3 linked regions of the Xenopus tropicalis genome follow. The protein of the gene in region 1 purifies or fractionates together with the protein of each later gene. This does not show direct contact. Links are inferred from orthologs where the notes say so. Each region holds a gene or a part of one and is shown in the gene's direction. Other genes may lie near its edges.

Evidence for each region. Proteins that work in one complex are often made in the same cells at the same time.
Region 2: the proteins of dnajb1 (region 1) and bag5 purify together in Homo sapiens (affinity purification with mass spectrometry; 3 studies listed by BioGRID and IntAct, with this or other methods). This does not show direct contact. The link is inferred for Xenopus tropicalis from reciprocal best matches to the Homo sapiens genes DNAJB1 and BAG5.
Region 3: the proteins of dnajb1 (region 1) and pycr3 purify together in Homo sapiens (affinity purification with mass spectrometry; 3 studies listed by BioGRID and IntAct, with this or other methods). This does not show direct contact. The link is inferred for Xenopus tropicalis from reciprocal best matches to the Homo sapiens genes DNAJB1 and PYCR3.

Annotation. Positions count from the first base shown.
Region 1 is NC_030679.2:134,724,355-134,728,596, reverse strand, and holds the start of dnajb1 (dnaJ homolog subfamily B member 1), read left to right. Parts: upstream 1-1,430; 5' UTR 1,431-1,477; intron 1,478-4,242. UniProt on the Homo sapiens protein: Interacts with HSP70 and can stimulate its ATPase activity. Stimulates the association between HSC70 and HIP. Negatively regulates heat shock-induced HSF1 transcriptional activity during the attenuation and recovery phase period of the heat shock response.
Region 2 is NC_030684.2:98,469,436-98,472,992, reverse strand, and holds bag5 (BAG family molecular chaperone regulator 5), read left to right. Parts: upstream 1-1,355; 5' UTR 1,356-1,389; coding exon 1,390-2,742; 3' UTR 2,743-3,044; downstream 3,045-3,557. UniProt on the Homo sapiens protein: Co-chaperone for HSP/HSP70 proteins. It functions as a nucleotide-exchange factor promoting the release of ADP from HSP70, thereby activating HSP70-mediated protein refolding.
Region 3 is NC_030682.2:151,251,594-151,255,736, forward strand, and holds the start of pycr3 (pyrroline-5-carboxylate reductase 3), read left to right. Parts: upstream 1-1,330; 5' UTR 1,331-1,384; coding exon 1,385-1,475; intron 1,476-3,123; coding exon 3,124-3,188; intron 3,189-3,429; coding exon 3,430-3,609; intron 3,610-4,143.

The DNA of each region.
Region 1 (4,242 bases):
AGTTAAGACGCAGGATTCAGGCAGTTCCTCACCCTGAACCATAGTTGGCTGGAGGGGATCTGTTCCAGTAAAGGGCATCCATTCCTGGTATACAGCTAATACTCTGCATATCCTTTCAAGTGGGTTATACTGTTCCTTAAGGGTCACATCTGCTGTTATCCTCTGTGACCATTCAATCTGCTGTGTCTGTGAGTATAATCCCTGCGGCACTATTAAGTTGTGCCTTGTCCAATAAACTATTCTATTCTATCTGCACCACATAAGCTCTATCTAGTTGTAGTACAACTACACCCTCAGCTCCATTAGTACCTCCCATATAGCGGAGGCCCACTCCTGTGCATTAAGGTCGCATGTAACACATGCTCTATACCTATCACTAGCCTGGGTTTGGTCCTTAAATAGGCCAAATAGGTGTTACATATAGTATAAAAATGATGACAGTATCTCTTTAACTATCATTTTCCTCCCTAGAATAACCTAAACAAGGAGTGCCACAAAGCTCCTACTTCCTAATGGAAGTATCACACCCTACAGGGATATACCGTAGGTGCTGTGCCAGGCAGGGAGTGCCCAGCCAGGTGTGCTTGTTACACTAAAAAGCTTCAAAAAGGCCCAGGTTACATAGCAGAAAACAGATAATCTGTGCAGATTCCCATTGTATTTTATAGAGATTATATATTATCTGCTATGTAACCTGTGCCTTTTTTTCTATCTCTAATGGCCGCCCCTATGGCTACACAGCAGCTTTGTTTATATAAACTATAGGGGCAAAGACACATGGGGCGATTAGTTGCCGCGACTTTTTAGTATAATCCCTGCGGCACTATTAAGTTGTGCCTTGTCCAATAAACTTGTACTATAGTTCATGAGAAAGAACCTTTCTGGCGTCCATTATTCTATCTGCACCACATAAGCTCTATCTAGTTGTAGTACAACTACACCCTCAGCTCCATTAGTACCTCCCATATAGCGGAGGCCCACTCCTGTGCATTAAGGTCGCATGTAACACATGCTCTATACCTATCACTAGCCTGGGTTTGGTCCTTAAATAGGCCAAATAGGTGTTACATATAGTATAAAAATGATGACAGTATCTCTTTAACTATCATTTTCCTCCCTAGAATAACCTAAACAAGGAGTGCCACAAAGCTGCTGTGCTTCTGGGAAATGGATGTATGTTTACTAATAACCAGCTGGGCAGGTACCCAGTCAGGATAAGCAGCCCTGAGAATCAGTAGGCGTGGCTCTCACGGAAAAGCGATGCCTGACTGAGTCGCCTCTCCGCCAATCCTCTGCATGGGGGCGTGACCCTAATAATGTTTCCAGTGTCTGATTGGTCAGCTTGAGGGGGGGCGGACAGGCGACGTTGCCAGAGTACGGAAGAAAGATCTGGAAGGTTCTGGAGGTGGAGCTGCACCTACAAGAGAGGGGCCGAGAGTTGACAGGAGGAGCATACGGACAAGCGATTGGTGCTAAGGTACGTACTGCGGGACGGGATGGGGTATTGCTCTGTCTGTGGCTTCTGGCACATCTGTGCGTATAGCGCTGCCGGGCTGTTTGGGGATGTTCCATTTGCTGATGGGCAATAGGGGTGCCACTGATCGTTAGATAATGAGAAAGGAACAGAATGTGTCTGCATAGGGGATAATGGTGTGTCTGTTGTTAGGGGCCCTTCTGCCTTCTGTCAGTTACTCTCATAATTCTCCTAATATGAGGCAGTTACAGTAAAATCGGGACCAGTAATTCCCGGGTATACCTGCATATCTATAGGCTTAGGGAATGGGGCAGCTCATTGTTGTTTGGGGGGGGGAGTCTATATACCTGAATCAACCCATAATAACTAACTGGGGGGTACTCAAGGGGCAGCTGTACTTGGGTAGTGTAGTACAGGTATGGGATCCCTTATCTGGAAACCCGTTATGCAGAAAGATCCAAATTATGGAAAGCCTGTCTCCCATAGACTCCGTTATAATCAAACAATTCAGAATTTTAAAACTGATTCCCTTTTCTCTGTAATAATAAAACAGTACCTGTACTTGATCCCAACTAAGTTATAATTACCCCTTATTGGGGGCAGAACAGCCCTATTGGGTTTATTTAATGGTTAAATGATTCCCTTTTCTCTGTAATAATAAAACAGTACCTGTACTTGATCCCAACTAAGATATAATTACCCCTTATTGGGGGCAGAACAGCCCTATTGGGTTTATTTAATGGTTAAATGATTCCCTTTTCTCTGTAATAATAAAACAGTACCTGTACTTGATCCCAACTAAGATATAATTACCCCTTATTGGGGCAGAACAGCCCTATTAGGTTTATTTAATGGTTAAATGATTCCCTTTTCTCTGTAATAATAAAACAGTACCTGTACTTGATCCCAACTAAGATATAATTACCCCTTATTGGAGGCAAAACAATCCTATTGGGTTTAAAAAAATGTTTTATTGATTATTTAGTAGACTTAAGGTATAAAGATCCAAATTACGGAAAGACCCCATATCCGGAATACCCTTGGTCCTGAACATTCTGGATAATGGGTCCTATACCTGTACTGCTCAGCAGGGAGCCCATTGGCATTATTTCATTTGGGAAACTTGTGTAATACTATTATGTACTGGCCCCAAATAGTGGGATGAGCTGGTCTCCTTACTCTCTGTACAGCCCTGGAGTAACCTGTCACAATACCCTTTTTTGGCTGCTTACCCCTCTCAGCATCACTGCCAGAGGGGTATGGAGATCAAAGCTCAGCAACAATTGGATGGAAATCCCTGCATAGCCATAAATAATGTTTATATGTGAAGGGCCTGAGTGCTGGGGGCATAGCAGGATTGACAGAAAGCAAAATCAGCATTAATTGGTAGAAATATGGGCCCCACCCTAATGGAAGTATCACACCCTACAGGGATATACCGTAGGTGCTGTGCCAGGCAGGGAGTGCCCAGCCAGGTGTGCTTGTTACACTAAAAAGCTTCAAAAAGGCCCAGGTTACATAGCAGAAAACAGATAATCTGTGCAGATTCCCATTGTATTTTATAGAGATTATATATTATCTGCTATGTAACCTGTGCCTTTTTTTCTATCTCTAATGGCCGCCCCTATGGCTACACAGCAGCTTTGTTTATATAAACTATAGGGGCAAAGACACATGGGGCGATTAGTTGCCGCGACTTTTTAGTCATGGCAACTAATCTGCTTAGCGAAACCTCGTGAGTGATTAGTCACAGCGACTGCTATTCTATCCTATAGCAGAAGAGCTACTGCGATTAGTTGCCGCGACTGACTTAATTAAAAGTTGCGGCGACTAATCGCCCCGTGTGTCTTTCTAAACAAACACACAACTTTTACCTGCGCAGGGCAACAGTATATTATACTTTCATTACTTTTCAGTTGGTCTTCATTATTTATAGTTTTTGAATTATTTGCCTTCTTCTTCTTCTAACTCCTTGCAGCTTTTAAACGGGGGGGTCACTGACCCCGGCAGCCAACAAAAACTATTGCTCTGTGAAACTACAGTTTAATTGTTATTGTTACTTTTTAGTGCTTATTGTTCTCTTCCAAGTCCTCTCCTATTCATATATCAGTCTTTCATTTAAACAACACCATGGTTGCTTAGGTAATTTGGAGGCTAGAGACCAGATTGCTGCTGAAACTCCAAACGGGAGAGCTGCTGAACAAAAACTGAAATGATTAAAAAACTACAAATAATAAAAAAAAAATGCAGACCAACTGCAAATTGTCTCGGAAAATTACTCTCTTCATCATATTAAAAGTTAACTCAGCCTTGAACAACCCCTTTGTAACACTTTCATTTTTGTGGTGTTATTGCTACTGTGGGCACCCTTAGGGCCAAAGCACACAGAGCTACTTAGTAGCAGCTACTTGTCATGGCTACTAAACACCAGAAAATTAAATTCCTTGCCATAGACAATACTAAGAAATTGCCTCTGCTAAAATTCACGTAGAGACAATTATCAGTAAATGATCAGCATTGTCTATATTTGTAGCCACAACAAGAAGCTTTGTGTGTCTTAGCCCTTACTAGTAAGTTGCTAGTCTTGTACCACAACCCTGCAAGAAGAATCATGTAAATATAAGTATGTGGTTGCTATGGGTTACTGGCTAGGTATTTCCTATGTACCTGCATAACCCTGTTATTGTGCATTTCTGAAAATTGTGCGTCGTGTCAAGGATGTGTTTCCTTCTTTTACTTTCACTTTATTGGGCTTTTAGTTCTTGCTT
Region 2 (3,557 bases), on another chromosome or scaffold:
AAATAAATACAACAAAAACTAACATATAAATCATACCAAAAAGGACAGGGGTATCCCAGTGCCTAATGCTACCCACTCTCCTAACGCGTTTCGCACCGTGTGGCGCTTCATCAGAGGAGGTCTGTGTATGCCATACTCTGCCTGCCCTATGCTGCCTGTGAGAGGTGAACCTGGCAGGGGTTTGTTCTGGGAGTTTGTTAGTAGTTGGAAACAGCCATTAAATGGTCCCTAAGGTGTGTAATTATGTTGCTGGGGGTTGCTGTGCTATCCACAGGGGAGGAGGAGGCATATGGATTTAAGGGTGTGTCTTAATATGACATAATATAATTCTTTCACATATGAATAACTGTTGATATCCCCGCAGTGAGGACCAAGCATTTGGGTTTTTGGTGCACTACCACCATTGTGATAAAATGGGTGTGGTTTGAAGTAGGTGTGGTTCAAAAAAAGGGGAGTGGCCAAAACTGGCTTCCATTAGCGGCCCTCCACCGTGTATGCTAAAGAAATTCCGGCCCTCGGCACCGCAGAAGTTGGACAGCACTGGTATAAACTTTGACTAACTAGCATTATCTTCCCTTTATGTTTCACACCAGATTCACTGGTGTGCTGTGTGCACTGGCCTCAAAATTTGTGTGAGCATGGAAAAGTGTAAGAGGGCATCATGGCCAGTACTTTCTGCTAAACGGGATTCAGTTTTCTACTTAATTTAGCTACATAGTTTCATACTTAAGTTCTATGCAGGAATTTTTGGAGATAGAGGAGGAGAAAGAAAAGTATAACTAGAACATTATTTTATTAAAAACAGTTTAAGAAAAATCCTTCCAGTTTTTAAGTGAAGTGCGTGGGGCATAGGTTTCAATTATATATATATATATATATATATATATATAGCATGTTGCAAGAAGACAGGCACTCACGTATAAGTAGGTCCAAGGGAGCCTGGGTGCAGTCCCAAAATAATAGATGGAGTAGCTGTAGAGAGAGTCCGCACTCACAGGTCTTAAGAAAATATAGAAGTTTTATTCAAATCAACATTATTCAAATCAGTATATATATATATATATATATATATATATATATATATATATACAGTATATATACATGGATGAAGAGATGGTTGTAAGCTCTTTTGGGCAGGGCCCTCTTCACCTCTTGTATCGGTTATTGATTGCTTTATATGTTACTCTGTATGTCCAATGTATGTAACCCACTTATTGTACAGCGCTGCGGAATATGTTGGCGCTTTATAAATAAATGTAATGTAATGTAATGGTTAGACAATACCTGTTTTTTGTTTAAATAAACATGTCTTAGGAATGGCATCTTTACCTTTTTGTTTTTGGTTTTTTTTTTAGCACCAGTATCTTCTAAGAAATTGCTGTATTGAGTATGGATATGGGTAATCAACATGCTTCAGTCACAGCTCTTCAAGAAATACAGAAGAAGGTCAAAGAGATTGAACAACAAGTGGTGACATTTAGTGGTCTAAAGAGTGACCCAACTTATAAAAAGCTTGAAAAAGATTTAACTAAACAGTTATTTGAAATAGAATCTATTGAGACAGAGGGAAAAGGAAACATTCTACAAGCCCAAAAGAAAGCTACTGAAGAGACAGAAAGAGTTTTAAAGGAACTGGAGCAGAATGCAACCCATCCTTGCAGACTTGAGATCGAAAAGATCTTTAGTGAAACTCAGAGTTTGGTAGCGCTACATACTACACAATTTAGTGGGGAAGGTCAGAGAACAGATGAATTTGAGGAAGGAATTCAGAATATTTTGAAAAGACTTACTCAAGTAAAAACCGAGGGAAAGATCCCTCTAAGAAAAGCTAGGTACCGAACTTTAACTAAAGTTCTTGCCATTCAAGAAATTTTAGAAAGCTCTTCTAAACAACAAGTACTTTCTCTCCCTCTCTCTGCTGAGGCACATCCAACAGTTTCTAAAATTAACTCAATTATGTGTGATGTGAACAAAGCCAGATGCAGTCTCATAGCTCTTCTAGCTGGCGTCAATGACAATGAAACATACAGGCATTTATCTTGCACTCTTACTGGATTAATTGCAAACCTGGATGCTCTGGATGTTTCTGGCCACACAGACATAAGAGAGTATCGCAAAGAAGTTGTTAAGGAAATCAACAGTTTGCTGAAATATTTGGATTTAGAGGATGAAGCTGAGTTGGGAAGTGCTTATGACTTGGGCCAAAACCAGTCAATTGTAAAAATAGAAGAGATTCGCAAAGAAGCAGCAAAAATAAAGAACAGTCTTTTAGAAGTGCAGCAGCATATGTCTGACATCTATATGGGTACAAAGTCAGAGCTGCAGGGCCTCATAGCTAGCTTGGATGAAGTTAGTGTAGGGAGGAATCCTTGCATTCGTGAAGCTAGAAGACGAGCTGTAGTTGAGGTCCAAACTGTCATCACCTACATTGATCTAAAAGAAGCTCTCGAAAAGCGCCAGAGTTTACCAGAACACACAGTCTCAGAGCCTCCATGTTATATAGCTGTATGGACTGTCTTTGGACATTTATCTGAACTTCAAAAGGAAGTCCTCTTCTTTGATGGGAAGAGAGCTGATAAAAATTATATGAGATTAGAAGAATTTATTACTAAACAATTGCTGGCTCTTGATGCCATTGATTCACAGGATGGCCGTACAAAGGCTGCAAGAAAACAAGCTGTGAAGCTTGCAAATAATATCCTTGGATATCTTGATATGAAAACTGATGAATGGGAATACTAAAAAAAACACTGCTTTCGCTTTGCTTGCACTTTAAATATGGCTGTAAAGATGTCTCAGTTTCATCCTTGCATTATCATTGCAAGATAGGGTTTTTACTAAGCCAATTATCTGTCATAAAACAAAGCTTCAGTCAAAAGCTAGCCAGTTTTTGTTTTCATGTACCAATGGCGAAAAATTATAGAATGTTTAATGCTAAATATCCCAGTTTGACTTTATCAAGTGGAACAATAAGTGGCATATTTCTAGTTGTATCTCTCTTCTCATTTTTGTGCTGATTCTTAAATAAAAGTTCTGTCTTTTTTGATGGGGGTACAACATTGTCATTGTTATGTACACAAGTGAATAGTATGTACATTTTTAATTATATTGTTCAGTGTAAAAAGGCTGCTGCGTTTAAGGTATCTAATTACAAAATAGACATTGCAGCACATGCAGAATTAAAAGATGTAGTTCAGCTTGATTTCTGTTAATTCCTATGGGATTTTTAGAAGTGTGTTTATCAAATGATGAACTCTAACTTTTACCCAGTAATAAACAGAAATTAAGGGTGAATGTGGGTTTTCATGTATTAAGCTCTAAACTCATTTTTTAATAAATCAGCACCATTGTGTCATTATATATTTAGAGAATGTGCTTCACAAACCAAAATGTGCATCTCGTAATTCTGTACAGACAGCGAAAACATTCTTAAAGCATAGCACATGCTATTCAAAATGGGCAAAAAATTCAAATTGAATAAGGTTTTTTTTTAAAAAAAGATATACAAAAATTCACATTTTATCGCATTAAATCTTGCACAAGCTCTTGGCCAAAAA
Region 3 (4,143 bases), on another chromosome or scaffold:
AGTTACAGGGGGAGCTGGGAAGTTGTGGGATCCCCCCCCCCTGAATCAGTGGTACTGGCAGATACATTAGATAGGTACAAGGAAGGGGAGTTACAGGGGGGCTGGGAAGTTGTGGGACCCCCCCCCTGAATCAGTGGTACTGGCAGATACATTAGATAGGTACAAGGAAGGGGAGTTACAGGGGGGCTGGGAAGTTGTGGGATCCCCCCCCTGAATCAGTGGTACTGGCAGATACATTAGATAGGTACAAGGAAGGGGAGTTACAGGGGGGGCTGGGAAGTTGTGGGACCCCCCCCTGAATCAGTGGTACTGGCAGATACATTAGATAGGTACAAGGAAGGGGAGTTACAGGGGGGGCTGGGAAGTTGTGGGATCCCCCCCTGAATCAGTGGTACTGGCAGATACATTAGATAGGTACAAGGAAGGGGAGTTACAGGGGGGCTGGGAAGTTGTGGGACCCCCCCCTGAATCAGTGGTACTGGCAGATACATTAGATAGGTACAAGGAAGGGGAGTTACAGGGGGGGCTGGGAAGTTGTGGGACCCCCCCCTGAATCAGTGGTACTGGCAGATACATTAGATAGGTACAAGGAAGGGGGGTTACAGGGGGGGGCTGGGAAGTTGTGGGATCCCCCCCCCCCTTATCAGTGGTACTGGCAGATACATTAGATAGGTACAAGGAAGGGGAGTTACAGGGGGGCTGGGAAGTTGTGGGATCCCCCCCCCTGAATCAGTGGTACTGGCAGATACATTAGATAGGTACAAGGAAGAGGCTGATGCCTTTTGAGTAACTAGAGGGTTAAATTAACCCTTTGCTCCGGGGCTGGGAGGCTTTTGGGGCCACACTGTGGGGGGATGAGGTGGGAGACAGAAGGGTGAGTTTAATGGGAGTCATTTACCAACCGAACCTACTATGCAGGAAGGAATGAGGGGACAGAGCGGTACAAGGGGCTGAGGGGGAACAGATCTCACAGGAATATCCCCCCCCCCCCCTGTGCCCGGGGCCCCGACCTCAACCCTAAAGTTTTAAAACTACTATCCCCCTGTATCCACTAACCCCCCCCCCCGTTACACTTAGTAACACTATCTCCCCCGGACTGACTGGCCCCCCATACACTATCAGAGCCTTACAGCCGGAGCCAACCGCACAAAACTTCCATCCCAGCCCCTCCCGGACCGGGCACCTCTTTCCGCGGGAAACGCCACACACTCACCTGTCCCCCCGGTCTCATTAGCGGAGCGGTCTCAGGGAGGCGCTTATAAAAGATCGGGTATGTGACGTCACTTACCTCGCACCAATTACATCCCTGCCTTGGCTCACACCTCCCATTTGCCTCCTCCCGCGGCCGCTGATTGGCTGGTCGCACTGCCAGTCCCTCACAGCTATGGCCGCCGCTCCGCATGTTCCTGTGCCGGTGGGATGTATCGGTGCCGGGCGTATGGCTCAGGGGGTCCTGGAGGGGATTCTGCGCGAAGGTACCGCCCCAACTCCTGCCCCACTGTTACTGTTATACCCTTGTCCCCTGGCACTGCCCATAGTTACACTGGTACTGCTGTCCCCTCAGTGACTGCTAATATCCTTATCATTTACAGTAGGGGGTACATTATCCCTTATAATACATGAGTGATACTCAGAGTTCCCTGTATAACTCAGCCTGCAGCCTTGTGCCTTTATATGGGGGGCACAGAACCCCTCAGTGACTGCTAATATCCTTATCATTTACAGTAGGGGGTACATTATCCCTTATAATACATGAGTGATACTCAGAGTTCCCTGTATAACTCAGCCTGCAGCCTTGTGCCTTTATATGGGCACAGAACCCCTCAGTGACTGCTAATATCCTTATCATTTACAGTAGGGGGTACATTATCCCTTATAATACATGAGTGATACTCAGAGTTCCCTGTATAACTCAGCCTGCAGCCTTGTGCCTTTATATGGGGGGCACAGAACCCCTCAGTGACTGCTAATATCCTTATCATTTACAGTAGGGGGTACATTATCCCTTATAATACATGAGTGATACTCAGAGTTCCCTGTATAACTCAGCCTGCAGCCTTGTGCCTTTATATGGGGGGCACAGAACCCCTCAGTGACTGCTAATATCCTTATCATTTACAGTAGGGGGTACATTATCCCTTATAATACATGAGTGATACTCAGAGTTCCCTGTATAACTCAGCCTGCAGCCTTGTGCCTTTATATGGGCACAGAACCCCTCAGTGACTGCTAATATCCTTATCATTTACAGTAGGGGGTACATTATCCCTTATAATACATGAGTGATACTCAGAGTTCCCTGTATAACTCAGCCTGCAGCCTTGTGCCTTTATATGGGGGGCACAGAACCCCTCAGTGACTGCTAATATCCTTATCATTTACAGTAGGGGGTACATTATCCCTTATAATACATGAGTGATACTCAGAGTTCCCTGTATAACTCAGCCTGCAGCCTTGTGCCTTTATATGGGGGGCACAGAACCCCTCAGTGACTGCTAATATCCTTATCATTTACAGTAGGGGGTACATTATCCCTTATAATACATGAGTGATACTCAGAGTTCCCTGTATAACTCAGCCTGCAGCCTTGTGCCTTTATATGGGGGGCACAGAACCCCTCAGTGACTGCTAATATCCTTATCATTTACAGTAGGGGGTACATTATCCCTTATAATACATGAGTGATACTCAGAGTTCCCTGTATAACTCAGCCTGCAGCCTTGTGCCTTTATATGGGCACAGAACCCCTCAGTGACTGCTAATATCCTTATCATTTACAGTAGGGGGTACATTATCCCTTATAATACATGAGTGATACTCAGAGTTCCCTGTATAACTCAGCCTGCAGCCTTGTGCCTTTATATGGGGGGCACAGAACCCCTCAGTGACTTCTAATATCCTTATCATTTACAGTAGGGGGTACATTATCCCTTATAATACATGAGTGATACTCAGAGTTCCCTGTATAACTCAGCCTGCAGCCTTGTGCCTTTATATGGGCACAGAACCCCTCAGTGACTGCTAATATCCTTATCGTATACAGTAGGGGGTACATTATCCCTTATAATACACAACCTTATGGGGATCAACAGCTTATTAATACATTTATATATATTTTAAAAGGGAAAATTGCGGCTCAGAATGTTACGGTGAGTGCCCCAACGGACCGCAATCTGGAGAAATTCAAGGTAACCCATGTTGGTGTTATTTTTTTTTTGGTGGGGGGGGGGCAGCTAATTACATTTGGTTATTTGTGAATGGCATTATACCTCATAGCAGGACTTATAACCTGTAATACATTTATGGTTATTTTCCCATCTAAAGGGAATTTTTTTACAGTTAGTTCAGTTGCAATTGGAGGTAAATGATAATAATAATAAAACAGAATCAGAGCAGTACAGGGAGCTAATTCTGGGTTATTCCCCTCAGCTTCGCGGCTGCCGCACGTCGCACAATAACCGCTCGGTGGTGTCTCGCTGCCGAGTGGTGTTTTTGGCTACTAAGCCCCATATCATTCCCTCGGTCCTGGAAGAGATTTCCCCAGAAGTGACTGCTGAGCATGTGATCGTTTCCATGGCGGCCGGGGTCACGCTGCAGACCCTGGAGACGGTGGGTATAGTGGCTGTGATTCAGGAATGAATGTATATAGAATACTCAATAATAAGAATATTCCCATGAATTCAATGCCCCTGGGTGGGGGCGTACAAGCGCAGTGTACAGCAGCCCTAGTACCCTGGTCTTAGGCAGGAAGGAAGTGCTTCCGGAAAGGGAATTCTGGGAAATGTAGTCTTTATATACCCATCTTTCAAGGAGTTGCATGATGGTGCCAAATGCCCACAGATATTAGGGAAGGGTGTGGCTTATACTTGTACCCACCCAGGCTTGGACTGGGATTCAAAATAGGCCCTGGCATTCCCAGTACCCAGAGGCACAAACAGCCCCCCCCCCCAGCCCAATAAATAGTGACTGTCTGTGGCACCTTACAGCCCCCCTGGCATTCCCAGTACCCAGAGGCACAAACAGCCCCCCCCCAGCCCAATAAATAGTGAGTGTCTGTGGCACCTTACAGCCCCCCTGGCATTCCCAGTACCCAGAGGCACAAACAGCCCCCCAGCCCAATAAATAGTGACTGTCTGTGGCACC